Linked DNA regions of Ovis aries. The protein of the gene in region 3 interacts with the protein of the main gene of each other region in a biochemical or structural test. Links are inferred from orthologs where the notes say so. Each region holds a gene or a part of one and is shown on either strand. Other genes may lie near its edges.

The links.
Region 1: of the proteins of XIAP (region 3) and TLE3, one has a biochemical effect on the other in vitro, tested with the Homo sapiens proteins (2 studies listed by BioGRID). The link is inferred for Ovis aries from reciprocal best matches to the Homo sapiens genes XIAP and TLE3.
Region 2: the proteins of XIAP (region 3) and UBE2M form a complex in vitro, tested with the Homo sapiens proteins (2 studies listed by BioGRID). The link is inferred for Ovis aries from reciprocal best matches to the Homo sapiens genes XIAP and UBE2M.
Region 4: the proteins of XIAP (region 3) and SEPTIN4 form a complex in vitro, tested with the Homo sapiens proteins (4 studies listed by BioGRID, with this or other methods). The link is inferred for Ovis aries from reciprocal best matches to the Homo sapiens genes XIAP and SEPTIN4.
Region 5: of the proteins of XIAP (region 3) and MAP3K2, one has a biochemical effect on the other in vitro, tested with the Homo sapiens proteins (2 studies listed by BioGRID, with this or other methods). The link is inferred for Ovis aries from reciprocal best matches to the Homo sapiens genes XIAP and MAP3K2.
Region 6: of the proteins of XIAP (region 3) and HTRA3, one has a biochemical effect on the other in vitro, tested with the Homo sapiens proteins (3 studies listed by BioGRID and IntAct, with this or other methods). The link is inferred for Ovis aries from reciprocal best matches to the Homo sapiens genes XIAP and HTRA3.
Region 7: the proteins of XIAP (region 3) and HTRA2 form a complex in vitro, tested with the Homo sapiens proteins (10 studies listed by BioGRID and IntAct, with this or other methods). The link is inferred for Ovis aries from reciprocal best matches to the Homo sapiens genes XIAP and HTRA2.

What each region holds. Positions count from the first base shown.
Region 1 is NC_056060.1:16,936,261-16,939,962, reverse strand, and holds part of TLE3 (transducin-like enhancer protein 3), read left to right. Parts: coding exon 1-41; intron 42-821; coding exon 822-1,071; intron 1,072-1,435; coding exon 1,436-1,683; intron 1,684-2,218; coding exon 2,219-2,366; intron 2,367-3,214; coding exon 3,215-3,365; intron 3,366-3,702. UniProt on the Homo sapiens protein: Transcriptional corepressor that binds to a number of transcription factors. Inhibits the transcriptional activation mediated by CTNNB1 and TCF family members in Wnt signaling.
Region 2 is NC_056067.1:66,428,709-66,432,925, reverse strand, and holds the start of UBE2M (NEDD8-conjugating enzyme Ubc12), read left to right. Parts: upstream 1-1,256; 5' UTR 1,257-1,787; coding exon 1,788-1,896; intron 1,897-3,023; coding exon 3,024-3,118; intron 3,119-3,235; coding exon 3,236-3,274; intron 3,275-3,386; coding exon 3,387-3,490; intron 3,491-3,741; coding exon of another isoform or gene 3,742-3,796; coding exon 3,797-3,860; intron 3,861-3,954; coding exon 3,955-4,095; 3' UTR 4,096-4,217.
Region 3 is NC_056080.1:107,880,229-107,883,930, forward strand, and holds part of XIAP (E3 ubiquitin-protein ligase XIAP), read left to right. Parts: intron 1-2,890; coding exon 2,891-3,084; 3' UTR 3,085-3,702.
Region 4 is NC_056064.1:9,172,073-9,176,204, reverse strand, and holds the start of SEPTIN4 (septin-4), read left to right. Parts: upstream 1-1,141; 5' UTR 1,142-1,191; coding exon 1,192-1,278; intron 1,279-2,100; coding exon 2,101-2,394; intron 2,395-2,782; coding exon 2,783-2,876; intron 2,877-3,534; coding exon 3,535-3,621; intron 3,622-4,091; coding exon 4,092-4,132. UniProt on the Homo sapiens protein: Filament-forming cytoskeletal GTPase. Pro-apoptotic protein involved in LGR5-positive intestinal stem cell and Paneth cell expansion in the intestines, via its interaction with XIAP. May also play a role in the regulation of cell fate in the intestine.
Region 5 is NC_056055.1:118,121,682-118,126,148, reverse strand, and holds the start of MAP3K2 (mitogen-activated protein kinase kinase kinase 2), read right to left. Parts: upstream 2,957-4,467; 5' UTR 2,467-2,956; intron 1-2,466. UniProt on the Homo sapiens protein: Component of a protein kinase signal transduction cascade. Regulates the JNK and ERK5 pathways by phosphorylating and activating MAP2K5 and MAP2K7. Plays a role in caveolae kiss-and-run dynamics.
Region 6 is NC_056059.1:115,314,330-115,318,031, forward strand, and holds part of HTRA3 (serine protease HTRA3), read left to right. Parts: intron 1-174; coding exon 175-274; intron 275-3,105; coding exon 3,106-3,328; intron 3,329-3,702. UniProt on the Homo sapiens protein: Serine protease that cleaves beta-casein/CSN2 as well as several extracellular matrix (ECM) proteoglycans such as decorin/DCN, biglycan/BGN and fibronectin/FN1.
Region 7 is NC_056056.1:96,382,352-96,386,786, forward strand, and holds the start of HTRA2 (serine protease HTRA2, mitochondrial), read left to right. Parts: upstream 1-1,614; 5' UTR 1,615-1,710; coding exon 1,711-2,216; intron 2,217-2,329; coding exon 2,330-2,534; intron 2,535-2,623; coding exon 2,624-2,818; intron 2,819-3,057; coding exon 3,058-3,090; intron 3,091-3,314; coding exon 3,315-3,420; intron 3,421-3,555; coding exon 3,556-3,625; intron 3,626-4,231; coding exon 4,232-4,327; intron 4,328-4,428; coding exon 4,429-4,435. Other genes in the region: lipid droplet-regulating VLDL assembly factor AUP1, read right to left, coding at 1-49, 141-213, 457-641, 841-991, 1,071-1,208, 1,289-1,338.

The DNA.
Region 1 (3,702 bases), on a different chromosome or scaffold from region 3:
GGCCTGCCCTCAAGCCTCGCCTCCATTCCTGGTGGAAAACCGTAAGCCTTGACTACTTACTTTCTGCTTGTTGGGGAGGGCAGAGAGCACACCACCCACCCACCTATCCCCTGCCCTGATGGGCCTCTCCTGGGGAAGGGTGTCTGCCTCTCTAGGGGTACCCCTGGGGCAGGTTGCAATCCCGTTGATGGCTGCTTGGCTGCACTCCTGATCGCCCCTGGGCTCCCTCTGAAAGGGGAAGGAGAAGGTTTGGGGTTGAGGTTGTGATCCCTGGGCTCTGAGAGGGAAGGAGCGTTTCACATGTCGGGCTTCCCAGCTGGATGCCATGGATCTTCCCTGCCCTGGGGGTTCCTGTGGGTTCTAGCCACAGCTGGCACTCCTATGACCTGAACCAGCAGGCAGACCACACTGGCTCACCCCTGGCTCTGATGTGTACTCTGTGATTCATTTAGGGACAGGGGGCAAGCGGATTTTCTTCCCTAATACTACTGGCTCCTAGAGGAGGGGTGGCATTCAAGCTGGGCCCTTTCCGGGGCCAGAGTGCTAGGGATTGTATAGATGGCGGGAAAGGTTGTTCCAAGGCAATGAGGGATCAGTGACGTGGTTTGGAGCAAGGATCTATTAGCAGGGGCAGAAGTCAGGGCAGGACTATGAAGCTGTCTCCGCCCTGGTGGAACCAGGTCAAGGAGGTTGGGGTTACCAGGTTTCCTAAGATGAGGGCAGGGGACACCTGGAGGCAGGCAGGCCAGGCAAGGTTTAGGGCCAGTCAGGAAACTGTTAGAGGACTGGAGATGGCAGAAGCGTGGTTCTCCCCCTTTCAGAGCCTACTCTTTCCATGTGAGTGCTGATGGGCAGATGCAGCCTGTGCCCTTTCCCCACGACGCCCTGGCAGGCCCTGGCATCCCCAGGCACGCCCGGCAGATCAACACTCTCAGCCACGGGGAGGTGGTGTGTGCGGTGACCATCAGCAACCCCACGCGCCACGTCTACACAGGAGGCAAGGGCTGCGTGAAGATCTGGGACATCAGCCAGCCGGGGAGCAAGAGCCCCATCTCCCAGCTGGACTGCCTGGTGAGGACCCCAGGGCTGCGGGCATCCCTGCTAGCTGTCATAGGAGAGCTGGGGCCTGGGCGGCACCCCACTGACCTGGCCAGGTGCAGCCCTGTATCGACTGAGCGACTTCGGGCAACCTGGCAAACCTCTCTGAGCCCTGCTGTCACTGTCTGTTAAGGGGAGATGATGCTGGTCTCCAGGGGTCTGTAGAGAAGTGGAAGTTTAAAAAGTCAGGAGGGAGCAATGGGGTTGGCCTGGCAACCGCGAATAAGGGCAGGAAGTGAGCAGATGTGGCGAGGATGCTTGGTGTGGCTGGATGTGACTTTCCCGGTCCCTGGGAGGAGGGGTGGGCGGCGCTGAGCACTGCCCCCTCCTCCTTCAGAACAGGGACAACTACATCCGCTCCTGCAAGCTGCTCCCCGACGGGCGCACGCTCATCGTGGGCGGCGAGGCCAGCACGCTCACCATCTGGGACCTGGCCTCGCCCACGCCCCGCATCAAGGCTGAGCTGACGTCCTCGGCTCCGGCCTGCTATGCCCTGGCCATCAGCCCTGACGCCAAAGTCTGCTTCTCCTGCTGCAGCGACGGCAACATTGCCGTGTGGGACCTGCACAACCAGACGCTGGTCAGGTGAGGCACGGGAGGGGCAGGGCTGTCCTCGCCCTGGGGAGGCCGCGCTGGCGTCGTGGCTGTGACGGCCGGTCAGAGGTGCTGTGGGGTGGCCGGGGTGGCACAGGCGAGGGCGCCCAGGCGAAAGGACGGCGGCTTGTGCCAGGTGTCCAGCAGGGGCGGGAGGGCTCTGTGGACCAGGAGCTTGCACCAGGCTCCGGGGAGGGGGCCCTGGAGCAGACCCCGCAGGGCAGAACTCGGATAAGTTGAGACACGCAGAGATGTGGGGAGAAGAGGCGGCGTCGAGACCGCTATGGAGGAGCTTAAGTGTGGGGCCTCGGGAGCAAAGCTGCTGGGTCTGAGCCCTGCCTCCCTGTGACCTCATGAGAGTTCTGGCCCTGGCTGAGACGCTCAAGTGGGAGAGGAGCCCTGAGAGACCGTGGCCCTCAAGTTTCCTGTTCTGCTGGGGGAGAGTTGGCATCTCCCTGGGACAGCTGTCAAAACAGCAGGCAGTGCTTCCCTGGGGCTTACCCTCATCCCTGCCTGGCCTTCCTAGGCAGTTCCAGGGCCACACGGACGGGGCCAGCTGCATAGACATCTCCCATGACGGCACCAAGCTGTGGACGGGAGGCCTGGACAACACTGTGCGCTCCTGGGACCTGCGGGAGGGCCGGCAGCTGCAGCAGCACGACTTTACCTCCCAGGTGTGTGCCTGAGACCCCCCCGCCCCATCCACTGGAGCAGCGTGGGGCCTTTCCTCCCTGGGTCTCAGTGGCTGGTTCAGGGGACCAAGGGGTCCTCACACGTGGTCATTACAAATGGACCTGAGACCAACCTGAGTCATCTAGGAAGCCTTCCCGGAGGAAGTGGCCATGAAATAGAATCCACAAGGCTTTGGAGTTGGTCGCATCTGCCCCTGCTGCTCAGACTTGATACCCAGCTCCTCTGCCATTGAGCATTTGGCCTCAGTTTTCTCATTCCTGGGATGGGAATAGTCATAGCTACTTCATGGGTCTGGTGTGAGTACCTGAAATGGTCCCTCTGAAAGCCTTGGCTGTAAGCCTGGCTATAGAAAGCATTCCATAAATGCTAGGTATTATTTTTTGTTATTGTATTATTTGTGTTAATATTTTAATCTTACATGTTTAATACATTAGTGTTTTATTTACTCATATTTTTCTTAAGGAAAGGTAAAAGTCACCGAGACAGAGAATAACTTTGAACGTGAAATGTCTGTGTCACCTCTGAGTTTGAATCCTGGCTCTGCCACTTTACTTTTTAGAGTCAGCAACCTCTCTGAGCCTCAGCTTCCTCACCTGGGAAGTTGATTGTGGATAAAACATGAGATCCTCTTCCCTTAATGGGGAGAGAGGGGGACTTTGCATTGCACATGGCAGGTGGGGAGGTGCTGGGGGAGGGAGTCGGTAAGACGCTGAGCCCACAGGGTTCCTGAGCAGGACCGTGGGAGAGCGCCCCTCCTCTCCCTCCTCCTGTCCCCCTGCCCCGCTGTGCTTCTGGAGGACACTGATCTCTGCCCGCCCCATCCCTGCAGATCTTCTCGCTGGGTTACTGCCCCACCGGGGAGTGGCTGGCCGTGGGCATGGAGAGCAGCAATGTGGAGGTGCTGCACCACACCAAGCCCGACAAGTACCAGCTGCACCTGCACGAGAGCTGCGTGCTGTCCCTCAAGTTCGCCTACTGCGGTGAGCCTGGGAAGCGGGAGCCTGGCCAGCCCTCCGCGCAGGGGTGCGGCTCAGAGCTTAGAGAAGGGCCAGGGCCCCGCTAAAGGAGCACGGTCTCAGAACTGGGCTCCTGACCCAGACCAGTACCCCCATCCCGCCCCGCACCTCAGGATGCAGATACTGCCACAGGGTACCAAGCACCTGTGACACCAGGCCAGAGCCAGACTTTGATGGCCTGGGGCAGAGGAGCAGTGTGCCCAGCCCTGCAGGCAGTGCCTACAGGTGATTTGGACCATGGGCTTTGGTGGCCACAGCTCTGGACTGAAGTGTGTGCCGGCCCACTGACTAGCTGTGCAGC
Region 2 (4,217 bases), on a different chromosome or scaffold from region 3:
ACTAGGATGGTTGCGATCTCATCCGCCCCAAACCTGAGGTTTTCTGCAGCTTCCAATCGCTTAGCCTCACCCCAGCACCTCTCCAGCACACAGCTCTCAAGGAAATCAACGAAGCCGGCAGTCTGGGGCGAGGACGACCAGAGGGTTGAAGGGGGGCTTCTGGAATGGAGGAAAGAGAATGCAAGCGGGAGAAAAAGGGAACGGCTGCAACAGCCACGACTAGGATATGAGACCACGGAGCCCAAGGACGCCGAGGGTACCCGAGAGGAGGCTGGGGTCGGCAGGGACGCCAAATCACGGCCCGAAAAGGTGGAGGTTACTTTCTGGGGTGAGGATCGGGCCGGGGTAGCCAAGAGGAGGCCATGGCCCACCACTAGCGCGGGCCCAACTGGGCCGCCGGACTACTCCCACTGTGCTCCAGAAGACGGCGGCACGCCGCCTCAGCGACGGGGTGGGTCGTGCGGCAGGAGCCTCATTCGGTCGCGGGAAGGCTCAGGGGCAGAGCCCCGGCCGCCCCCCGGGCCCGGCCCCCCGCCCCGACCAGCCCTCGTGGCGCCGCTCACCGCCTGACGGAGTCCTCGGTGACAGCCTGAAGTCGCAGAACCGCTCCGCGCCGCCTGCTCGCGCCTTCCAACGCACGCTGAGCTGTGATTGGAGGGGAGGCTGGCTCCGCCCACCTCGCGGACGGAGATGGCGGAAGGCCGGGGGTCGCCTGCGGGCAAACTCTAGACCCGTGCGGAGGGCTGCCCCCAAGCGTGTGAGCCCGTGTAAACCTCCACAGTGTTATACTATCCTCTGACACGTTTTATTTGCTAGTTTACCTCAACCAAACTCTGCAGGCGGGTTCTCTGAGCCTGAGATGGGACCCCGAAGGTTCTGAGTCATGCACTCTAGGCCACGCTCCTGGCCTTGCTCAGGCTCTGACTCTAACCCTGCCTCCGTCTGTGGCCCCTGGGGTCAAGCCCCTTGTTTGGCCCGTCTATGCCGCCGTCCGCACAACTGCGAGTGGGCATGGCGGCCCGCAAGTGAGGCGGCCTGCATCTGCCCCACTTAAATATGGCGGCGACACCGCCATCCCCCTCCTCCCTGGACTCGCGGGCGTCCCCGGAAGTGACCGGCCCGGCCCGCACGAACGGAAATACCCGAACCAAGCCGAAGGAGCCCGATCCCCAAGTCCCAGCGCGGAGCAACGTGGGGCGGTGGCAGCGGCTGCGCAAGCGCACAGCGCAGGCCGGGCGGGAAGAGCCGAAGCGGGCAGGCGACGGAAATAGCCGAAGCGGTGGGGCGCCCGAGGCCGTTGCGGACCTCCGCGCCGAAGCCGCTGCTGCCACGGAAGCCGGCCCTCCTGTCTAGTGCACGGCCATCGCAGCCCCCGCCTCCCCCTTCCGCCTCGAGCCGCAGAGCCCTCGCGAAGAGAGCGAGTGACCAGGCCCAGGGACACGGCTTGAGGACCCCGCGTCCGCAGCCGAGCCTGAGGACGCCGGAGCGGACGGCCGGGAGGAGGGAGCGGCGGGTGGGGGCGGGGCCGAGTAAGCCCGAGAACAGCCGAGCGGGCCCGAACGCCGCCGAGCGGGCCCGAGGCGCCGGGCCAGGCCAGAGCCGACTACGGGAGCCGACGCGGGCCGCGCGGTGGGCGCGGAGCAGCGCGGCAGGCCCGGCGGGCGGCGGCAGCAGCCGGAGAGGCCGCGGCGGCGGGTCCGAGTGGCGGAGGCGGCGCGGGCGGCGGCGGGGGGCCGGGTGGCCGGGGTCCCGGGCCCCGCAGCGGCGGCAGCGGCGGCGGCGGCAGGATGATCAAGCTGTTCTCGCTGAAGCAGCAGAAGAAGGAGGAGGAGTCGGCGGGCGGCACCAAGGGCAGCAGCAAGAAGGCGTCGGCGGCGCAGCTGCGGATCCAGAAGGGTAAGGGGAGTCGGGGGATGGGAGTGGAGGTCGGAGGTCAGAGCCTGGCTCCGGGTGATACGGGAGTCAGGTGTGGAGTAATGCGGCTGCCAGGGGTCAAAGGTGTCAGAAACGGGGAGGCCGCGGATGTGGGGATCGGAGACCAGGGCCTGGGGGCCGAGGGGCCGGGGATGGGGTAATATAATCACCAAAGTGGTCGGAGGTAGGGGGGCCGAGCAGGGGGCACTGAGCGTGTTCGGAAAGCTAGGAGTCTGATACTAGGGACCGAGAATCTGAGGGTGGCAGCGGAAGAGGGAGACCGGGAACTCGAGAGTCGGGGGGTCAGATGGGAACCTGGGCGACAGGAAGAGGAGATAGGGACAGTGGGGCCGAGGATTGAGGATCGGGGTGGGAGATTTAGTGTATTAACGCTAGAGTCACTGGGAATCAGAGTCAGACCTGGTGAAGTGGGTTCTGGGGCCTGGGTGTCGTGGGTCTGGGTGAGTCACATGTCAGTTTGGGGTGACAGGAGGAGGGAGGGATGCTGGGTACCAGGGATTATAGAGATAGGAGTAGGGTTGGGTTTAGACCATCCTGCTAGAGATGCTGGAACTCTTATGCTCAGAATAGTATAGGGTAGGAGGCTTGGGAACTCACAGATCTGGAGGTCAGATGGGATCCTGAGTTTAGGACGACAAGCAGAGAGGAGTGTATGGACAGTGGGGGCCAGGGACTGGGGGGGGTGGTGATTTAGGGTGAGGAAGGGAAATAAGATCCTTGCATCTGCGCAGACAAGTAGAGACTCCTCTAGAAAGCGGAGGTCGCGGTCAGGATGCTGGATTTGGGGTGGGACACACAGGAGTGGGAACATGTAGGAGCTGGGCTGGGGGACTTACGACTGGATTCAGAAGAGTTAGAGCTTGCCCCCCAGGAGTTCCAGCATATCTGCAGTGTTCCATAGATACGGAAGAGCCTGCCTGGAGACGCGGAGCAGAAGGAGCAGGGAGAGGGAGGAGGGGGTGGCCCACTGCCCAGGACAGAACTGGGGTCCTGGGTAGAGGTTATGGAGGCTCTGCTGGCACCTGCTCTGAGCACCCCCTATCTCCCCCTTTCCTGGCCTGTTTCCCTTCTCTGCTGTGAAAACCCAGACATAAACGAGCTGAATCTGCCCAAGACGTGTGACATCAGTTTCTCAGATCCAGACGACCTCCTCAACTTCAAGCTGGTTATCTGTCCTGATGAGGTGAGGGCACGCTTAACTGGATTCTCAGGCACGGCAGGTGACACCACCTCAAGTTGGCTGGTTCACCTGCCGGGCCTTGCAGAGTGGGGTTCTGACTCCTCTCCTCTTCCTTCACAGGGCTTCTACAAGAGCGGGAAGTTTGTGTTCAGTTTTAAGGTGAGTCTCAGGTGTGCAGGGGTGGCTCCCTGGGCTGAGGAAGCAACAGCTGAGGCCCCAGCCAGGCACTGCTGTGCACCTATCCACTTGCCCTCTCTTCTCCTGGAGCCAGGTGGGCCAGGGTTACCCGCATGACCCCCCCAAGGTGAAGTGTGAGACGATGGTTTATCACCCCAACATTGACCTCGAGGGCAACGTCTGCCTCAACATCCTCAGGTGAGGGCACTGGCCCTCCACTACGCTGCCCAGCCCTGCCTGCCAGGCCCCCTTCATGACCTTGCACTATACCAGTCTCTTTCCCTTCCCTTCCCCTTGTGGTCTGTGTGTCCCTCTGTCTCTTCAGCTCTGCGTTTTCTTCCTCATGGCTTGACCTTGGCTTTCTGGCCTGTGCTTCTCTGCACCCTCCCGCTAGCATTTCCCGATCGTGCTGTCCCATGCCCTGGGCCTGACCTGTCTGGTCCCAGCAGGGCCTGTGGTGGCTGCCCGCTCACCAGCCCCTATCATGATGCTCTCTGCCCACAGAGAGGACTGGAAGCCAGTCCTTACGATAAACTCCATAATTTATGGCTTGCAGTATCTCTTCTTGGTGAGTAGGGGTGGGGGTGGGAGGGCAGCTGGGGGAGGTTGGCCCTCTGACTTCTGGGCTTGTTGACCTCCTGCCCCTCCCATACCGGCCACAGGAGCCCAACCCTGAAGACCCACTGAACAAGGAAGCCGCCGAGGTCCTGCAGAACAACCGGAGGCTGTTTGAGCAGAATGTGCAGCGCTCCATGCGGGGTGGTTATATCGGCTCCACCTACTTCGAGCGCTGCCTGAAATAGGGCTGGCGCATACCCACCCCTGCCAGGGCCACCAGCCCCGGCGTCCCCTGCAGATATTTATTGGGGGCCACAGGTGGGGGGACAATGGGGCGGCCGGTGGGGGAATCCCATGCCCTGGCCGG
Region 3 (3,702 bases):
TCTCCAGAGCTCTTTTCATCTACAAAACTGAAACTCTTTATCTATTGAACAGCTTCCATTTTCCCATTCCCCTGGCAGCCACCATTCTGCTTTCTGTCTCTGTAAATTTGACGACTGTAGGCATCTGATCCAGTGTCCTTTTTTATTCATTGTAGCATCACATGCAAAAGTAATGTGTAAATTAATTGTTTTCCTCTTCATGATTTTTTAGGGGATTACAAAGGTACTTTTAAAAAACACTTCGAAGGGGTAGTTCCCTCACCCCCAGGACTGGCCTGGGGAAGAGAAACTACCTGAGAGGAGGGAACCCCGAAAGAGACCTGCTGTGGACTCCAGGCAAAAGGAATGCCTGGGTACTGGGAGCTGTAAGCATGACGGGAGGAAGTGTAGCGGGACAGGCTCCAGGCACACAGGCGAAGCGCAAGAAGATTGGACAAAAAGCCACAAAGTTACTTGTGTTCCTTCTTTTCATTTGCCTTTTTCAGCTTCTACTGCATGATCTCCGAGTCGTTCTGCTTGTGGACCACAGCAGAAAGCTTGTCATCTCAGTGTTTTCTCTTAACCAAGTCACTCTGCTTTTCCATATTCCGCTGGCAGGCTGGCTTTTGCTGGTTGCCACAGTCTTGGTGATGGCAGGAATATACACTATTCTTTTTTGGTCAGGTGCATCCATATAATATAAATCAGTTTATAATGCCATCCCTTTACTTTTGTTGTTTGCTGTGCCCCGAATGCCTTTTTCCTGTTTGTATAGCTCATCTCATTCCCCACTGCACCCCCGATTTGATTCCCTAAACCCATTTCTTGAACTTGTCCTTCAAGGCTCAGCTCAAAGGTCACTCTTTGAAGTTTCCCCAAAGACCTATAGCACACTTTGCAGCTTTCTCTGCTCTCTCTGTTAAAGCATTTGTAACGTTGTTTTGGAACTTTTTCTGTCCCCTTCTATCTGTTAGGCTTCTTGAGGACAGACAGTTTATCTTTCTTATCTCTGTGTTCCATATTTGAGTTTTGAATTATGCCCAGGAGGTTGCCTTTTAAGAAAAAAAAGAAGCAAATAATCCTTTTCTCCATGGCTAGCGAGGAAAACCTTACTGAAGCAATTCTGGTATCTTTTTCCAGGTTAAAACCTTTCACTGGCTCTGGAGCCCTTGGTGTTAAGTCCATACTCCTTCACATGGGTTACCAGATCCTTCATGATCAGGCTCCTGCTAACCTTCTATAGCCTCATGCTATTTCCCCTTCACATTCTCTTCCCAAACCTTACCTGTGCACTTGCAGGCCTCATTCTGTTTCTCACCTTGGAGCCTTGCCTATATCATTTCCTCTGCCCAGAGCACTCTTCTCCCACTGCTCTTGTCCTTCAAGGTCTAAGGCTTTCTCCCTCTTTTAGTTTACTCGTACTTATCCTTTAGGACCCAATTTAGGTATAATATTTTCTGGAAGGCCTTCCCTCTGTGTATACATGGATACACAGCCTTCCTATGTTCTTCATAACACATTGTCATAACTTTAATCATTACATTGTACTATAATTTCCTGCCTACATGTGTTCCTAACTTGTCTATGAATGATTAGGAGCCCAGGATCTATATATTTGTTACTCTGTCTCTAATGCCTAGAACCTAGCTAAGTCTTCCATAAGCATTTGTTGAATAAAATTAAACCACTGTTTCCCAAACTTGTTTTCAAAATAGCGTTCCCCAGAATGTTAAGAGATGTCATGAAAAAGGAGCTCTGTAGTTAAATAGGGAATGCATTTTGAATTTCTAAGAGGGCATATATGCTTTGTTATGCTGTCCTCAACTTGATAGTCATGGTTCAGAAATGCCAGTATGCTCAACCCCAGAAATATTAGATTGAGTGAATGGGGCCCAGGAATCTATTGTGTGTTTTTTTGTTTGTTTTTTGTTTTTTAATGCCCCTAGTGATTCTCATGTGAAGCTAAATTTGGAAACCACTGGTATACAGTGATCACAAAGATTGTTAAAATATGTAATACATTTGGAATAGTGCCTAGCACATAGTAGAAGTGCTGTATTACTTTTAACTGCTGCTATTGCTGATGTTGTTGTCATAGTTATATACGATTGTGAAACATATTTTTGTGCCACATTTGTTAACATTTCTCAAAACTAAGTTTGACAAAGGCTGAATTAAACAAGAACTTCAGTGCCACCTGTATATTGATGAGGCCCAGGTTTCTATCTTTAGCCCTGATTTCTTCTGACCTTAAGACTTAACTCTCCGATTACCTACTGGACATTTTTATATGGATGTTCTGCAAACACCTCAGAAATATCTTAAAAATCCCAAACCTGTACCTCCATTTTTATTTCCTATTGGCACTGCCATCCCCTTGTCAGCCATGCTAGAAATCTTGAAATCAACTTTATTTCCTCTTTCTTCCTCATCCTTCACATCCAATCACTAGATCCTACTTGTCCCATTTCATAAGTAGCCCTCCACTTCCATCTCTCCATTTCTGGAATAAGCGATGCCCTTTCAATATGCTGCTACTTTTACCTAACCCTTGCTTCTCTGCTTAGCAAATTTCTGTTTTTAAATGTTACTCTTCCACCTCCCCACTTCCCCACCTAACAGCCACCAACCCGTGAAACCTTCCCCACCTAACCTGAACAGAAGAACTTGTTCTGTTACCTTGTCCCAGAGCACTTTGTAATTTTATTACAGAACTTATCACTGTGTACTTTGTGCTTACTTCTGTAGCCTCAGCTCACGTCCTTTTCTCCCACTAGCCTGTGAACTGCTTAAGAGTAGATGCCATGTATGAGTTATCCCATCTCCTGACACTTGATCAGCGTCCGGCACATAAATTCACTGTTTCCAACTCAGAACGTCTAAAATTAACACTTTTTTTCTCTTTGAACAGACATTAGTACTGAAGAGCAGCTAAGGCTCCTACGAGAGGAGAAGCTTTGCAAAATCTGTATGGATAGAAATATTGCTGTCGTCTTTATTCCTTGTGGACATCTGGTCACTTGTAAACAGTGTGCTGAAGCAGTTGACAAGTGTCCCATGTGCTACACAGTCATTACTTTCAAGCAAAAAATTTTCATGTCGTAATCTAACTACAGTAGGCGTCTTATGTTCTTATTACCCTGATTGAATGTGTGATGTGAACCAACTTGAAGAAATCAGCATTGAATTCCATTAGCATTTGCTGCCAAGTAGGAAGAAAGTGTAAACTGCGATGTTATAGTTGGCAGTCTAAAATTTGAATTTCTGGATTTTTCAGGATGTTAACTGTATTAGCTGTTCTATTTTTCTCCCACTGTTATTTAATTGAAACCCTAGACTAAGAAGCATCATATTGTAACTGATCACAATGTATGTTTTATAGTACACTGACTTAGTTTTCTAAATGTAAGTGAATTAATCAATTGAATTTTTCATTCATTTTGGATAGGCTTAACAAATAGAGCATTCTGTATGAATGGAGATTAGAGTTAATCTCCCCAATCACATAATTTGTTTTGTGTGAAAAAGGAATGAACTGTTCCACATTGGTGGAAAGATGGAGATGATTTTTAGATGTTTGTGTTTTAGGATTTTTGTCCATTTTCTTTTAAATTATACACATGTACTTGGGTGGATGATTTTTTTTTTTAATGATTTTGCCATTGTTAAAAGGGTATTTAATGATTGAATACCATTTAGCCTACATGTACTGACATAAAAAGA
Region 4 (4,132 bases), on a different chromosome or scaffold from region 3:
ACGGCAAGGCAGTTCTGTCCCCGAGGAGAGGGCTGAAGCTGGGGTAAGGCTGCTCTGGGAAAGGGTGGACCTGCCTCGTCTTCTCCCTTGTGTTGGCTGGATCGGGGCTCAAAGGCAGAGAAGGATTGGCTCCGTGGCAGAGCCGGGGGCCGATGAGGTCCCTGGGGTCCTGACCCCTTGGTTGGAGCTCCTGTGGGTCCCTCCCGTGCCCGCTGGAGGAAGAGTGGTGCTGGCGGCTCTCCTGGAAGGTTTGCAGGAGGCTGGGGGTCTCCGGCAGGGCCTTCCCTCCTCCCTTCGCTGCTGCCCCTCTGGCTCAGTGCTCCTGGTGAAACCAGGCGGAGAATGTCCCCTCTCTCCCACCCTCAGTCTGCCCCCCAGACGGACTCTGGGTTCCTGTGGGGTTGTGCAGAGGGACAGGATTTCCCCAAATTCCCCAGACTCCTGGGCTGCCAGAAAACAAGACCTGTCACACACACTCCACCCACCTCCCACCCCCATCCGTTCCCCGTTGCTGTATAATTAATCGTCTGAGCTGGGACACTTTTAAGAGTAGAAAGGGGCAATTCTGCTAGAACAGCAAACATAAACCGGAATGAATGGTCACCCCACCGGCCCCCAAAGATACTGTGGGTGAGAAAAGGCCAGCTGGGTCAGGCCTGCCTCAGGACAGCCTCTTCTGGCCACTTGGCCCCCACACACTGGTTCCAGTTTCAGGCTAAGCGCCCCGTTTCCTGTCCAGGCAAGCCCTGGAGACTGTGGCTCTAAGCTGGCAGGGGCACTTGAGAGGCTATAGCCCAGAAGTAGCTCTTAGGCAGCTTTCCCCTCTAGCCCCCTTCTAGTCCCTTCCCTCTGCAGAAAGCTGGCAATGCATAGGACTGCATTCCTCCGTTCTTCCCGCTGTAGCCGGGAACCTGCTGAAGACGGTGGCTGCCTTATCTCCCCTGTCTGGGACTCCACAGTGGTCTGGGGTAGCCCCCACTAGCTTGGCCGATTCCCAGGGGGTGAGTCAGCCTGTGAAGCCAGCCCTTGTCCATTGTCTGGGGATGGCACGTGGGTATTGTAAGGCAGAGCTGAGCCCAGCACCGCCAGGCACTCCACGAAGGGGGCCGGCCCCCAAAGGAGAGAGGAAGCTTCAGGGTCTAGAACTGAGGGTCAGAGTAAGGGGGACGTGGCCTGTCTTCCCAGCTGGAGATGGTGGGGGAACAGGTCTCCGCAGAGGAGCCAGCCACCGTCTGCCCACCCTCCATGTGCTTCAATGTCGAGGCCAGACCCCTTCCGGTACTGCCAGCTGAAGCCTAGCTCGGGGCAGGGGGCAGGGCGCAGCCAGTGGTGCCTCCGCCTCTACAACCCTCACGGCTGGGGGCTTTCTGCAGTGTCCTCCCACCCTCCCTCACTCGGTCCCTCGCGAGCATCCCTGGCACATTTCCCCTTCGCCCCTGGAACCCAGGCTCAGGGTGTGGAATCAGGGGGCTCAGGTCAGCTGCTCTGCGCTCCCGGAGTGAACACCTCCGGGAGAGTCGGCTCCCGGTCCTTCCCGGTCCCGGAGCTCAGAGCTGCAGCGGCCGGAGGTGAGGAGCCCCCTGCTGGCTCCTGAGTCGCCCGGGGCTGGAGGCTCCTTTCTCCCCGCCCGGGCTCCCTCCCGCCTCCCGCCCCTACCCGTCCTGACGGTCTGCACCCTCCTTCCGTCCTGAGCCACGTACTCCTCTCCGCTCTAATGCCTCTGTCTGCTCCGCTCATTCGGCCTGGCTTCCTGGCCTCTAGGGCAGTCCTGGCCCTGGCGTGGAGGGGCAGCCTCGACCAGCACCCTGTAGCGAGGGAGCAAGGAGACCGGAGCTGCTGGGTCCCCAGAGCGGCTGCTGGGGCGCCGGGGGCTGCCGCTGCCTCCCTGGGGTCTCTCCTGCTGTCCCGGACCCTTGGGCCGGGAGGCCTGTGAGCAGGGGAGGGTGGCGAGCGCTTCCTCTGGCTTGGCCGCCTGTGCAGCTCCTTTCCCTTCTAACCACACGTGCTTTCCTCTCTCCCTCTCGCCTTCTCTTGTCTTGCTCCTTCCTTCTTCCCTTCCTGCCACCGACCCGCCTACCCCACCCCGCCCCTGACCCTCAGATCAAGCGCTTTCTGGAGGACGCGGATGACGCAGAACTGAACAAGTTCGTGACGGATTTCCCAGGAAGCGAGACCTACCACCCACCAGAGGCCAAGACCTTGGTGCCCAGGCCCCAAATCCAGGAGCCGAGGCCCCAGGCTTCAGACCTCTGCCAGGATGACCTGGAGTTCAAATCCCCCTCGTGGCCCCAGCCCTCTGACAGCCAGCAGTACTTCTCTGCCTCAGCCCCCCTCAGCCCCTCAGCCCGGCCCCGCAGCCCGTGGGGCAAGCTCGATCCCTATGACTCCTCCGAGGTAGAGCCTCCAGCCCCGTCTGTGCCGTGGGCTGATGCAGGAGGACCTGGGGAGGGAGCTGAGGGAGCCCCAGAAGTGTGTGCGTGTGCCTGTGTGCGTGTGTGCATGTGTGTGTGTGTGTGCGTGCATCCACACGTGGCTGGAGACGTGCTCTGTCCTGTGTTGGCCCCAGCTCTGTGGGGTCACCCCCGCACCCCCCATGCATTGGAACCCGACAGTCAGCAGGGACAGGAGCCCAGCTGGTGGCCCCACCTGGGGCCTCAGAGGAGTGTGGCAGTGATCCTGGAAGGCTGGGCAAAGACCCAAGAGGCGGGGAGAAGGCTGGCGTTGGGTCCCGGGGTCCTTCTGCCTCTGCCGTAATGCACTCTGCTTTCTCATCATCCTCTAGGATGACAAGGAGTACGTGGGCTTTGCGACCCTCCCCAATCAAGTCCACCGGAAGTCTGTGAAGAAAGGCTTTGACTTTACCCTCATGGTGGCAGGTAGAGCAGGGGCCGGGCAGAGCTGGGCAAGGGGCGTTTCAGCTGGGGATGGTCTGTGTGTGTGGGGGAGTATGGGTGTTAGTTGCTCAGTCGTGTCCGACTCTTTGTGACCCCATGGACTGTAACTCGCTAGGCTTCTCTGTCCATGGGATTCTCTGGGCAAGAACATTGGAATGGGTTGCCATTTCCTTCTCCAGGGGATCTTCCCAACCCAGGGATGGAACCCAGGTCTCCTGCATTGCAGGCGGCTTCTTTACTGTCTGAGCCACTGGGGGATGGCCAGGGCAGGAGAAAGCAGCAAGTGGCTGTGCCTTTTTGCAGAAGAGCCAGAAGCTGTAGGTGGCCCCAAATCCGTATCCTATCCAAAGTCCTTATCCTATGTGTTGTGGGGGAGGGGTCAGTGACAAGGTCCAGAGAACCCTTAACCCTCAGGTTCCTAACATTTGCTTTTTGCTGTGTGACCCTGAGGAATCCCTTATCCTCTCTGGGCCTCACTGGCTGGATGAGCTCTCATCTCTGCTTGCTTCCAGTTGTGCTGTGTTTGGGTTAGTCTCTTCCCAATGAGATAAGCAAGAAGGTCCCCCACACACTCTGCCCAGTGGGGTGGCCTCTTGGTGACCGCTGTGACTTGGTGCCTCTGTCCTGTCTCCCCCGTCAGGAGAGTCGGGCCTGGGGAAGTCCACGCTGGTCAACAGCCTCTTCCTCACAGATCTGTACCGGGACCGGAAGCTCCTCAGTGCAGAAGGTAAGGGAAGGAGCATGAGGACAGGCAGGCAGAGCTGACCTGAGAAATGGAGCTCACTCGGGGTCTGGGGGATGCAGGAAGCTGTGGCTTCCTAGAGAGCCTGCCATGTCTCTCCGGAGGGCTGTCCAGGCTGGCAGCCCACCAGCCAGCTCCCTAAAGACTTGGGTGCTGAAGCAGGGCAGGGGCCAGAATCCTCTCTGACCCCTCAAAGGATTCCAGGAATCCGAGAAAAGAGGCTGGAGCAGAGAAGAGGCTGGGGCCGGAGCCAACAGCCACCGGCATTTCCTGTGTTGGGAAATGTGCTCTTCGCTGGTTCCCAGAGAACAGACAGGCCCCCGGCAGCCCCAGGGGGCGGGGAGGGGGCAGGGAGGGTGAGGCAGCCTGGGCAGCAGGGCTGGTTGGGATGGGCCATGTCCTCCCAGTGGGCAGGTCCTTGCCCCGGCCCTGGCCTCAGTTTCCCCCTTCTCCAGAGCGTATCATGCAGACGGTGGAGATCACTAAGCACGCCGTG
Region 5 (4,467 bases), on a different chromosome or scaffold from region 3:
CCATAAAAGATCTTTCCAGCACAAATGGGGAAATTTAAACATGGATGGATACTAGACTACATTAAGAAATTAACAATAAAAAACTATTAATTAGAAAGTTAACAATAATGATATTTTGGCTGTGTAAGAAAATGTCCTTATCTTTGGAAATGCAAGTTGGCATATTTAGGGGTAAGGTGTCATAGTGTCCACAGTTTAGTTTTCAAATGGTATAGCCAAAAACACTTCCCACATGGCTCAGTAGTGAAGAAGCTGCCTGCCAATGCAAGAGACACGCAGGAGATAGTGATTCAACCCCTGGGTTGGGAACATCCCCTGAAGGAGGAAATGGCAACCCATCCCCATATTCTTGCCTGGAAAATCCCATGGACAGAGCCTGGCAGACTACAGCCCATGGGGTCACAAAGAGTGGGACATGACTGACTGACTGACTGACTGACTGAGCACACAGGCACGCACGGCCAAAAATAATGTACACAGTATGGCAAGATGCCAATAAATCAGTCTATAGGATTACTATGTGGGTTCTGATATTACCAAACTCCTGTGTACTTAAAACTGTCCTAATAAAAAGTTGGGGTTGGGTTGGGGGGCAGGTGGGAGGGAGCTTTGAGAGCTCCAATTCTACAAGGAAAAATAAAATCAATCTGATACTAAAGCTGGGACTTGTCTAGAACCAAACACAATTCCATTTTACTACAGCATCTATTAAATATAGTTTCCCCTCTGGTAGCAATAAGGTAAACAAGGGATGAAAGTTCCAATTAAAACACTTAAAAGACTGAGTCTACACTGTAATCATCAAATTATTTACAATAAATCTTTAATAGTTATTTCTTTCAAGAGAGATTCATGGAGAGCATGACTAGATAACCATTCTATAATGATATTACATTCAACAAGACTCAACACACGTTTGTATTTTAAGCAAACGACAAATCAATCTGTGAACCATCCACTTCTTAGCTCTATAATTCAACCTTTTCTCTACAGACATTACAAAGACATTCAACTACAAATTTTCTTAAATCTATCTGATAATACATTAAAGGAAATTACAAACTACTACAATTTGGGGCATCAATAGATTTCTGCAACATTTACAACTATGCATGAAATTTAAGTTACTCAAGAGAATTTTATCAACACTTTCTTCTGCAAAGAGAAATGTAAAGGCTATCTAACTTTAACCATCATCAAAGAAACAGAGTATAGGTCAATGCTACATGAGAATTTCAGTTAGTTTATAAATACTCATTAGTTTGCTACATACATACGAAAGAAAACAATCACATCATTAAAAAATAACTTTTACAACACTCTACACATTAAATTCTGGCTCTCCACTCAGAGATATTGCACAAGTTAATGCACAAATTACTAAGCATGCTGTCATTGCCACATAATCCAGAAACAAATTTTGCAATAAGGAAATCTCAAGCAAATAACCCAACTGTGAGTTCCCTGTATGCATCAAGAATAAACTGCACAAATTGTAACTTTTCAAGAAATACGGAGTTTAACTAAATCTATTTCTTCTTTTTGATAAGAGGGGAAATATTTTCTGTTCGGTCAGTTCCAACTCAAAAAAAGAAAAAGGTAAAGGTGCCTAGAGTCACCTTTTAAAAGTAATTTTGGGGGGAAAGAATCAAGAAGATCATTTGGCTAGGCTGCAGCAAAACACACTGAACAACCTACAATAGGGGCATATAAACTCGATCTACTTTTTTAAATATTTAGATTTCACTCCCAAGAAGAAACTTTTCAGGTTTTCTCATTTTCCTCACATATTTATTTTCGCAAGATCTGAACTAGAGAAATACACTTCTACAGAAAAGACATCATATTCGAACCAAGGCTTTCCCAGATTACCAAGCTGCGTGACCTTGGGCAAGTTCCTCAATCTGAGCCTCGATGTTTTCAACCGTAAAATGGAGAGACAGTATCACCGCACTGGGCTTCCAAGGTGAGGTGAAACAATGCACGGTTAAGTATCGGGGGCGTAACAAGTGCTCGCTAAATGGTCCCTAAAGCGAAAGGGGCATCAACCCCAACCACTAGTGCACGACGATACAGCGGGGCAAAGACAAGCACTTTCTCGCTTCCTGCATGTAACATTTCTGCCTCTCCCAAGGACCAGGCGCAATCTTCCTTCCAAAGGCCCGGCGGAGTACGCGTCTTGACAGCTCCACCGCCCAGCGGTCTACTTCGCTCAGACCTGGACTTCAGGACAGGATGCAAGGGACCCAAGGTCCGCCCACCCCAAGCGAGGCAACAACCTAGCAAAATCTCCGCCCCAGGGGCTGCGCCCAGGCCGGTAACGGCCCCCTCCTCACGTCCGGCCCCCTCCCCGCTCCCCCACCCCCACCGCCACACATTTGTGCGGGCGCGCGCGCGCGCTCACACACACACACGGACACACACACGGACACACACACACACACACACACGCACGCACGCACTTACCCGCCGCTCCGCGGGGACGTAGGGAGCCGCAGACCCACCCCTCCGCCCCCGCGCGGCCTGTCACCGCGCCCCCCGGTCGAGGGAGGCTGCGGGCCCCCGGGGACCGGAGGGGCGCACGAGGAGTCGGGCGCGGGCCGGGGGCCAGGCCCGGCCCTCCTTCACATGGAGCCTGCGGCGGGCGCGTGGACCGTGGCGGCCGGCCGGGGCCTCTCGGCGCCCCTCGTTCCTTCTCGCCGCCGCGGCCCCGAGGCCCGCGGGAAGCTGGGCAGAAAAGGAGGAAGCCGCGGGCCGGGTGCCGCCGAGGCCGGAGAAGGGGCGGGAGCGACGACTCCGCGGCTGGGAGCGCCGGGCCGCCCGGTAGTCGTCGTCGTCGTCGCCGCCGCTGCGGGCCGCAGGACCCCCGAACACCGCACCCAGCGACCGCACCACCCTCGTCGGGAGCCGCTGCTGAGGGCAGCCCGGCCGCCACTACACACGGACCCGTGACGTCGGGCGTAGCGCGGCGCACGTCACGGCCGGCTCTCTCGTGCGCACGCAGCCCTCCGCCTGTCGGGAGCGGAACCCGCCGGGGGCGCGCGCGCTCGCTGGAGGCCGAGGGGGCGCGAGTCCGCGCCTGCGCAGTGGCTGGCTGCGCCCACGCACGCCCGGTGGCACACGCCGGCTCAGTAGTGCGGAGATTCCGGGCCTGTGCTCTCACGCACGCGCGTGCACCTCAGTTCCCTCGCGTCTACCGGAGTCCTTGGCGCCGAGACGCCAAAACAAACCTCGAAAATGGTCTCCCGCGTGGGCTTCTGGCAGAGCGAGAGCAGCGGAGTGAGAAGAGGCTGCGACCCACTTCGAGTCCATAGCAAGTCGTTTGCAGGCGAAAAGATTTCGTTTTGGGATCTGGTTTCAGCATTTTTTCCTAAAAGATTTAAGAAATTTTTGTCGACTTGTCACCTGACCGTAAACCACTACCCTGGAGATCGGCCTTCTAAGTTTTACAGTTCACTGTTTACTTCTTGTATGTATTCGAGGTCGGCCCAGCAAGTATTACTTTTTAATTGTTAACAAATGTGGAAATCTCGGCGCAGGAAGATGAGTTGACACTCCACCCCCAGCACTTGTGACAGAGTCTAAAACCCAATCGCTTTCACGGAGTCTTTTCTTCACTCCCCGTCGCCCCGCAGTACTAAGTACAAACTCATCGCATTAGCTTTGGAGGCCTCTGTTATGTGACTGACCTGCATTCTGCATTGTCTCCAGCCCAAACTACTATGATCCAGAGAGTATCTGTCCTGCCCCGTCTCTTGTTTCCTCAAATACCCCTTACAACTTCCTGCGCCATTTCTTCCTTTAGCATCTGCGTGCTTTCTTGGTAGGTTGTGGATCCCACCTGCTTCCTGCCTCATATCCACTTAAACAGTTGAAATAAGAGTGGTGCCCACCCAGAGGAAAGCAGCTACGCAACCTGCGGCCCTGAAGAACAGGGGAGATCGCACCTGTGGGGCAGGGACTGAGGGAAAGGCTGTTCTGTAATAAAATACCTAGATCCCCTTCGTGAAATTTTTATTACAGGCACACTAGCGGTGTTGTCAAAGGAGCAAGAACAGAGATGTTCATTGGCAAGTTTTTGTAACGGTGAAGCCTAGAAACCTAAATGACTCCGACTGAGCGGATAAATAATGGTTCATTTGCTCTGCAGGGAATTAGGCAGCCACCACAAAGAAAGGCTAAATGCTGGAGGACCTCAAAAATACAAAGCCTAATAGAAAAGCACTTTGCTGCCACTAATTTAAAAAGTAGAGTACTTTTAAGCTTATGTATGCAGAAAACCGGTCTTTAAGATGGCTTTTGGTTCTAACGTCTAAGCCTGATATACCACAGAAAAATAAAGGATCTCAATATACTTGGGCAGGATTTAAATCTTAAACGTTTTGTTATTTTCCATGGTTCCTAGCCTGACCATATAGTGACAGTGAAATTGCTGAGTCGTGTCCAGCTCTTTGCGACCCCACGGAC
Region 6 (3,702 bases), on a different chromosome or scaffold from region 3:
ACTTCCTGTGAGTGCTATGTGTCCTAGCGTAAGTGTCCTGACCTCTCGGAGCCTCCCGGCGGCCCTGGAGATATAAGGTGGGGAAGCCCGGCATCCGCCACCCTTGGGAGAAGCGAGCCCTGTGCCTGGAGGTCTGGGCCTCACTAATGCACCTGATTCTTCCTGCCAGTACAGGTCTCCACCAGCTGACCAGCCCACGGTACAAGTTCAACTTCATTGCCGATGTGGTGGAGAAGATCGCGCCGGCTGTGGTCCACATAGAGCTCTTCCTGAGGTGCGTGGAGCCCCTCCTACCCCCACCCCACCATCTGCTGGGCCCAGACTAGACTCGATCCCAGCACTGGGGGGAAGGGGGCCAGTAGAGACGAGAGTGGCTGTGGAGTCCAGCGGACCCTGCTCAGACTTCCTGGTCGCTGTTGCCCTGGGGAGGACGCCCCTCCCCGACCCTGACCAAGTGGCCTAAGGAGGCAGAAAGCAGCTCGCACTTGACCCAGCTGTAGCGGCTGCTGCAGGGTCACGAGGGCTGTCTGAGCTGATACCGCCCTGCAAACCCCCGGCTCCCACAGAATCCTGGGGTCTCCTCCCAGACCAACTTCGACACTGCAGCTCTGTCTTAACCTCACGGCCGCTGTGTGTGGAGGGGGCTGGCAGGGGCCCAGACAGGACACGTAGGGTCAGACACTCCCCTTCCATCCTGTTGGGGTCAGAGGGAGCCAGCCTCTTGCATGCCATGCTGCCCGAGGGGACCATCGCCAAGGCCTCGGCCACAACCCCGGGGCCTCGCTTGACTTGACTTCACGGCATTCCCCAAGCAGTGGGGGCAGCCAGCGTCATCAAGCCCCCCAAAGCACAGGGGATGAGGCAACCCGCCCCCAACCCCACCCCGAGCAGGGGGCCAGGAGTGGGCAGAATCGCTCCCACGCTGACTCCTGACCCCGGCACGGGACCCCGCCCCTGCCCGCTGGCCGTGGAGCTTGATCAGTGGGAGCACCTGCATCCCGCCCCCAACCTCTGGAGGCCTAGGGGCTGAGCAGATGCCTGGCGCGAGCTCAGCACGGTCCTCGGAACCTGCTCTGTGCCCGTCGCCACACGGGCTGCCCTTCCTGCCCTCCTGAGCTTCTCCCATCGCCCCGGCCTGGTGCCGCCTCCCGGAGGAGACAGCCAGGCCCAGCAGCCCATACCTCAGCGCTGACCGACAGCAGCTGCACCGTACTCCGAGGCCCTCCCACGGGTCAGGAAGGCAGGGTCCCATGTTCCCATTTCTGGATGTGGAAACAGTGGCCCAGGCAGCTGCCCCAGGCTCAGGGCTGCCCCCCAGGTCTCTGGCATCTCAGAGCCAAGCCCATCCCCCTGCAACACGCTGACCCCTCACTGCCTTTCCCACGGGCCCCAGACCCTGAGATGTGTCTTTAAGGAAACGACAGCCCAATGTGTGAATGGCCCGTCCTTGGCCTTGCAGGTGGTTGTTGGGGGGCAGCGTCCTTCCAGACACCAGCCCTTGAACCAGATAGTTGCTGACTACAGTGGGAGGCCGCAATGGTGGGTCCAGCCTTCCTTGGAGGCTGAAGTCTTGGGGTGAGGGCAGGGTGAGGCCGAGGTGGGCACCATCCCAGACATGGGCAGCGTGGTCCTCCAGCACAGGCACCTCCGGCTGTGACCTCCGAGTGCACAGGGAGGGGCCCTGGACTGCCTGGGGCTCTTCCTCAGACCCGAGGCGAATCCTGCACCCGGCAGGCCCCAAAATTGGGTGCAGCCACTGCTCAGGGAACTGCACGGAACCGGGTGGAGGCTGGAGCTGGTCTCAGGCCTGAGCAGACAGATGCTCTGGTCACCACTGGAGGGGCTGAGTGGCCAGGCTGCCCAGGTCAAAGCCTGGCTCTGCCCTTCCCCTGCCTGACCCGGGCGGCTGGTTCGTGTCCCTGGGCCGGGGTCCCCACCTGTGAACTGACTGTGGGCAGGAGGCTGACCTCTCTGAGCCTCAGTCTCCTCATCCAGGAAATGGGCTGACACCACCTCCCCTGACCCGGGAGGCTGGTTCATGTCACCAGGCCTGGGTCACCACCTGTGAACTGACTGTGGGCAGGAGGCTGACCGCTCTGAGCCTCAGTCTCCTCATCCAGGAAAGGGGCTGACACCACCTCCACTGACCCAGGCGGCTGAAGGCCTTGTTTCCCCACCTGTGAACTGGAGGGCCTCTCTCTCTTGTAGGCCGGCCGTGAGCACGGTGGGACTCGGTCTCTGGCTCCGTGGGCACTCTTGGTGACCTTGGTAGTCCCTGACCTGCTGGGGAGGTGGCGTTTCTGCGCTTCCCAGAGATCCTCTCTGTTCTTCCTCCCCGCCCTTCCCCATCCCCGCCCCCTAACACACACACACACACACACACACACACACACACACAGTTAGACCCTTTATGGCTGGTGTCTGTCCAGCAGCCTCAGGCATGCTTGACCTGCCCCGTCCAGACCCTGCACTGCGGCCCCAGAGACAGTGGCGACCCTCCCCCGGGAAGGCCCTGAGCCTTCCAGGGCTTCAGGGCAGGCAACCAAGGCGCCGGAGGGAGGTGGGAGCATGGGCCCCTCAGTGTTTATGACCCTCTCTCTGTGCAGCTGGAGATTAGGAAGCTGACATTCCCCGAGGGCCTGCTGAGTCCCGTGGAGCTGTGTGCACATCCTCCTGTCTTCCCTATGGCTTGTTGACCGACTGCCTGCACCTGCTTGGTGGAGCAGGTGGTATCGGCCCATTTCCCAGATGGGGAGACTGAGGCCCAGAGGGGTCCGCCCCGTGGCTGTCCACAGTCAGGCAGGTGTAAGTGGGGATTGGACTCAAGGTTACAATCCTGGTCTGTCTGGCTCCAGGGCAGGAAGTGCCTGCTGCGTTGTCATGGAGCTGACATTCACAGGCCTCACATCTCGTCCTCGCAAATGGCAAGTCACAGGCCATTGTTGCCCTCTCTGTGGCTGTGAAATGGGTCCAGACTTAACGACTGGCCAAGGCCACAGCCAATAGGTGGCAGAGCCAGGATTCAATCCTAAGGCCTGGTGGATGCTCGTTTCCCCCAGACCCTGGCTGTGGCTGACCCAGCCCACCCACCTGCCTCCCCCACAGACACCCTCTGTTTGGCCGCAATGTGCCCCTGTCCAGCGGCTCAGGCTTCATCATGTCGGAAGCGGGCTTGATCGTCACCAACGCTCACGTGGTGTCCAGCACCAACACCGTCTCAGGCCGGCAGCAGCTCAGGGTGCAGCTGCAGGATGGTGACACCTACGAGGCCACCATCAAGGACATCGACAAGAAGTCGGACATCGCCACCATCAAGATCCACCCCAAGGTGAGTGGTGGGGGAGCCCTTCCTGGACCCTGGGGCTCAGGGACCTCTCAGCCCCACTTTCCCGTCAGACACTCAGAGGAACTGAGGCCCCTGGGGACTGGCAACATGTCCTAGTCTTGGGTCTAGTCAGACTACAACCCCGATATCTGGACACTGCCCTGCAGGGCCCTAAGTGGCCCATGCAGGGCAGAGCAGGCTGCCGTCCAGGAAATATGCCGCTCCCACATGGAGGGTGGAGGGTCTCCAAGGCTGGGGACACTTCCATTGTCCCTCCTGGGCCTATTCCTGGAGATGCCACTGTCCCCCTGGGGGTCACAGAAGGGGTGACTCCCTCCTGCATGCTTCTTGCTGCTCAGCTTCATGGTCCCAGCTCC
Region 7 (4,435 bases), on a different chromosome or scaffold from region 3:
CGAAAAGTGACCACAGCAGTTCTGAGACCCAGGATGCATCTGACACCGTCTGAGGGGAGGGCATGAGTGAGGTCTAAACCAGGGCCAGGAGTAGGAAACTTCCCCTCCAAACCCAGAGATTCCCTGTGGAACACACTCACCACGGAGACAAGGGGTCTCTGGACTCGCAGGGTAAGAGGCTGTACCACGTCCTGGATAGAAAATGGCCAGGAACTAGAAGAGTGAAAAAAGTAAGATGGGATTCTAGCCAATCTAGTCAGCAGCTCATACCTGACTTAAAACAGATACTGTCACACTGTACAAATAGAAATGTGGGAAATAAACAGATTCAGGGGAAAGAACTAAAAGTGGGCAAAAAGTAAATAAACTAGGAAGGTAATGGGGAGGGCTGTGAAAACCCCAGGGCCCCCAAGCCTGATCACCTCCAGTTGGAGACAGATACCTGTGCTCACCTACCTGAAGCGCAGGAGCCCCTCCCGGCCATTGGTGGCCTCTTCCTCGGGAAATAGTAGCAGAGGGGTAGGGGGAAGCCTTGTTGAAGCACAGAATCTCTTGAGTGACTCCACCAACTCGCCTTGACCATCCATCTCCATAAAGCCCCGAGACCAGCACACAAAGCTTGGGGGACTATTGAGTAGAGGCTGGGCACCGGAAGGAGAGAAAGCAAGAAGAAAAGAATGCTGTGAAGTGAGAAAAATTGACATATGGGTAGAAAAGCAAGGTCGGGGTAAGGGTCAGTATCTTGTGGTCCCCATGGGAAACCCGAACACGGAGAGGGGTGCCTTGAGCTGGGCCCCAGGGAGCCACTCCGTGGCACTCTCGGCTTCCTCCCTAACTCACGGTGCTACAGCTGGTGAGCAGGTTGACTATGTTGTGGTCGAAAGGTGTCACGTGGTTGGAAATGAGGACCCTGACACGGTGATCCCGCAGTCCAGAGTCCTCCTGCCGGGCCACGAGCCCCAGCACTGCACACATGGTCCGTACCACGAACCTGCGAACGCAGGCAGTGGTGACTACCTGGCCTTGGGCCAGGCCCAGCCCCAGCCCTCCCCGAGCGCCCGGGTCGGAACCTGCGAAAGACACTGTCTGGTAGCGCGCAGCTGACCAGGAAGACGTGGATCCCAAGAAACAGGCGCAGGACGAGGAGGCAGAACCCGACTGGAGCGTAGAGTAGTAGCGCGAGGAGCAGGAAGCCGTCACCCGGGAGCCTGGGGGCGAGAGGCGGGGTGATTGGGCGCCGAAGGCCAAGTGGACGCGGAAGTCGGTCTCTTCCCGCCGGGGTTCTTACCGGTGCGAATCAAAGAGCCGCTCCGGCCCCGGCGACGACGGAGGCTCCATTGCCGCTGCTTTAGGATTGTCTGGCCGCTGCCGCCATCTTTGCGCCCCGCCGCAGGGGCTCTTGGGAAGGCGGAGTCTTCGGGCATCCGCCCAGGGTGCCGGGACCTGAAATTCTGAGGCGCCCCGGAAGGGCTAGCGGTCCCATCATGCCTCGCGGACCCGTGGGCCACCTCATAACTCGCGTCCCGCGGGGACCACAATTCCCGGCATTCGCGGGGCGGGGGCGGAGTTGGCCTCCCGGAATCCTGGGTCCCAGCGTGCACTTCTGGAGACTTCAGGTACCGGCGTCCTCAGCGTCCAGCTGCCCTCCTGGTCGCGTCTAGGGCGCCGCCTCTGCGCTGGGCGGGCGAGGAAGCCGCCGAGGCGGAGCTGATGGCTGCACTGAGGGCGGGGCGGGGTGCTGGCTGGAGCCTCCCGGGATGGCGGGCTTTGGGTGGGGGTCTCTGGGGAAAGGGACCCCTGTTGACCCCTGACCTCCGGGCCCTGCTGACGTCAGGAACTCCTGACCCTCGGACCCGAGTGACTTATGGGACCCCCAGTTTCAGGGCCCGGTTGTCTGTGGGGGTCCCTGAACCACGGACATGCCTGAGGTCCTGGACTTCGGATCTCCGAGCACGGCTGATCGCTGGGACCCCAGATCCCCGGACTCCGGAAGGCTCCGGAACTCCCGGAACCCGTCCGCGCGTGTGGCTAGCGGTGGCGCTGGGCGCTGGAGGGGCGGTGCTGTTGTTGTTTTGGGGCGGAGGGCGGGGTCCCCCGGCTGTGTTCGCCTCGGTCCTTGGCTCGCCGCCCACCTCTCCCCGGAGCCAGTACAACTTCATCGCGGACGTGGTGGAGAAGACGGCCCCTGCCGTGGTTTATATCGAGATCTTGGGCCGGTAATGGTGGGGGTAAACACTAAGGCACCGAAGCCGCGGGCTAGAGGGCGGGCGAGAAGGATGGGTCTGAGCCTCCTCACATCTGTACTGTCCCCCCGCCCCCCTTTTTCCAGGCACCCTTTTTCGGGCCGCGAAGTCCCTATCTCGAATGGCTCAGGATTCGTGGTGGCTGCCGATGGACTCATCGTTACCAATGCCCATGTGGTGGCTGATCGGCGCCGAGTCCGTGTAAGGCTGCCTAGCGGCGACACGTATGAGGCCGTGGTCACAGCTGTGGATCCCGTGGCAGACATCGCCACGCTGAGGATTCAGACCAAGGTGGGGGTCGGGGCAGGCCATGTCTGCTTGGGACTGTGAATTTGTTCACATCTCCAGATGCCAGGTCTCTTGTACCCATTCTCCCTTAGGAGCCTCTCCCTACGCTGCGCCTGGGACGCTCAGCTGATGTCCGGCAAGGGGAGTTTGTTGTTGCTATGGGAAGCCCGTTTGCACTGCAGAACACAATCACCTCCGGCATTGTCAGCTCTGTTCAGCGTCCAGCCAAAGATCTGGGCCTTCCCCAAACCAATGTGGAGTATATCCAGACTGATGCAGCTATTGATGTGCGTCCTGATATAAGAAAAATGAGACTAGGTTGGGAGAGAGGGGAGGGGTGTGTGGTACAGGCACCAGTTGTGATAGATGGTGGATGAGCCTATATACTGGGATTGGGTTGCAAAAAATGTGGCCACTCCTTCACGGGCTGGGAAAGGAGAGGATTTGGAGAAAGTGTCTACATCCTGATTGTGCCCCGAGGCATAGAGTCCCTGGATCTCTGCCATATTTTCTCCTTGTCCTGCAGTTTGGAAACTCTGGAGGTCCCCTGGTTAACCTGGTGAGTGTGACATCCTTTCCAAGAATCCCTATCTCAGGTCAGTATGGGAAGAGGTGGGTTTCCCCTAATTCACTGGTGTTTGGTCAAGTTTCTGAGCAGTTTCTTGTTGGCTGTCTCCCAGAATCCAACTAGATCTCCCCCAAAACTCCCTCCCACTCTTGCTCAGGTACCCCCATCTCCTATTATTTGTCTGGGCTAGAGAATAGTGGGCTGTGTCCCAACAGGATGGGGAGGTGATTGGGGTGAATACCATGAAGGTCACATCTGGAATCTCCTTTGCCATCCCTTCTGATCGCCTTCGAGAGTTTCTGCATCGTGGAGAAAAGAAGAGTAAGCCTGGCTTTTGGGGAAACGGGTTTCTTTAGTGGCAGGGGTGGGGAGGGTTTGCTGGAAGAGGGGTCAATTGGGAGGAGGAGGGGAAGTAAGGATATACCTGGGTGGGGCTCATTTGTCCTTCTAACACAGATTCCTGGTTTGGAGTCAGTGGGTCCCAGCGCCGCTACATTGGGGTGATGATGCTGACCTTGACTCCCAGGTATGAGCTTTAGGGGTAGTGACACGTAGGGCCATCAGTGTAACCAGTGGTGGGTACCTGGCAGTTCTGTTGAGCTTCGTTCTTAGTTCTGTTTTTATCTAAGATGAGTTGCCTCATTCCTCTCTCATTATCTTGATTTTTCTCACCTCACTCTATTTTGCATACCTTCCATCCTGTTATTGCTTAGATTTACAATAAATACCCAACCTTCCAGATGTGGCTTCCCTATGAGTATTTTCTGTTCCAGCCAACTTGATTTCCTAATCCCGTGTTTTTATGTTGTTCTTGTTTTATATAGTTTAATATCAGATTGATTCTTCTAGGTTAAGCTAAAGTTATAGCACTTCCTAAGTTATAGCTGCTTTTAGGATTCTAGAATGACATTAGTGCTATTGATTTAACCCTGTGTGTCATTTGGAATGTTACCTTTTATATACACATTCTGCTTCCTAACTGCTAGAAGGCAAAAAGTGAATTGTTTTTGTATCAAGAGGATCTAGTGCACGTCCTGTTCACACGCTTGTCGGTGTGCTGATGAAAGATGTGAGGCAAACCCCGAATGGGGAGAGTGCCCTGTGACCAACAGAGTGATCTGTGTCCTTTCAGCATCCTTGCTGAACTACAGCTTCGAGAACCAAGCTTCCCTGATGTTCAGCATGGTGTGCTCATCCATAAGGTCATCCTGGACTCCCCTGCTCACCGGTGAGGGAGAGGCTGCGTTAGGAGGTGGAGATGGGTGGGGTGTATGCGCCCTTGAAGTGGGCCATCTAGTTCTTCCTTTATCTCTCTATCCTTTGCCATAGGGCTGGT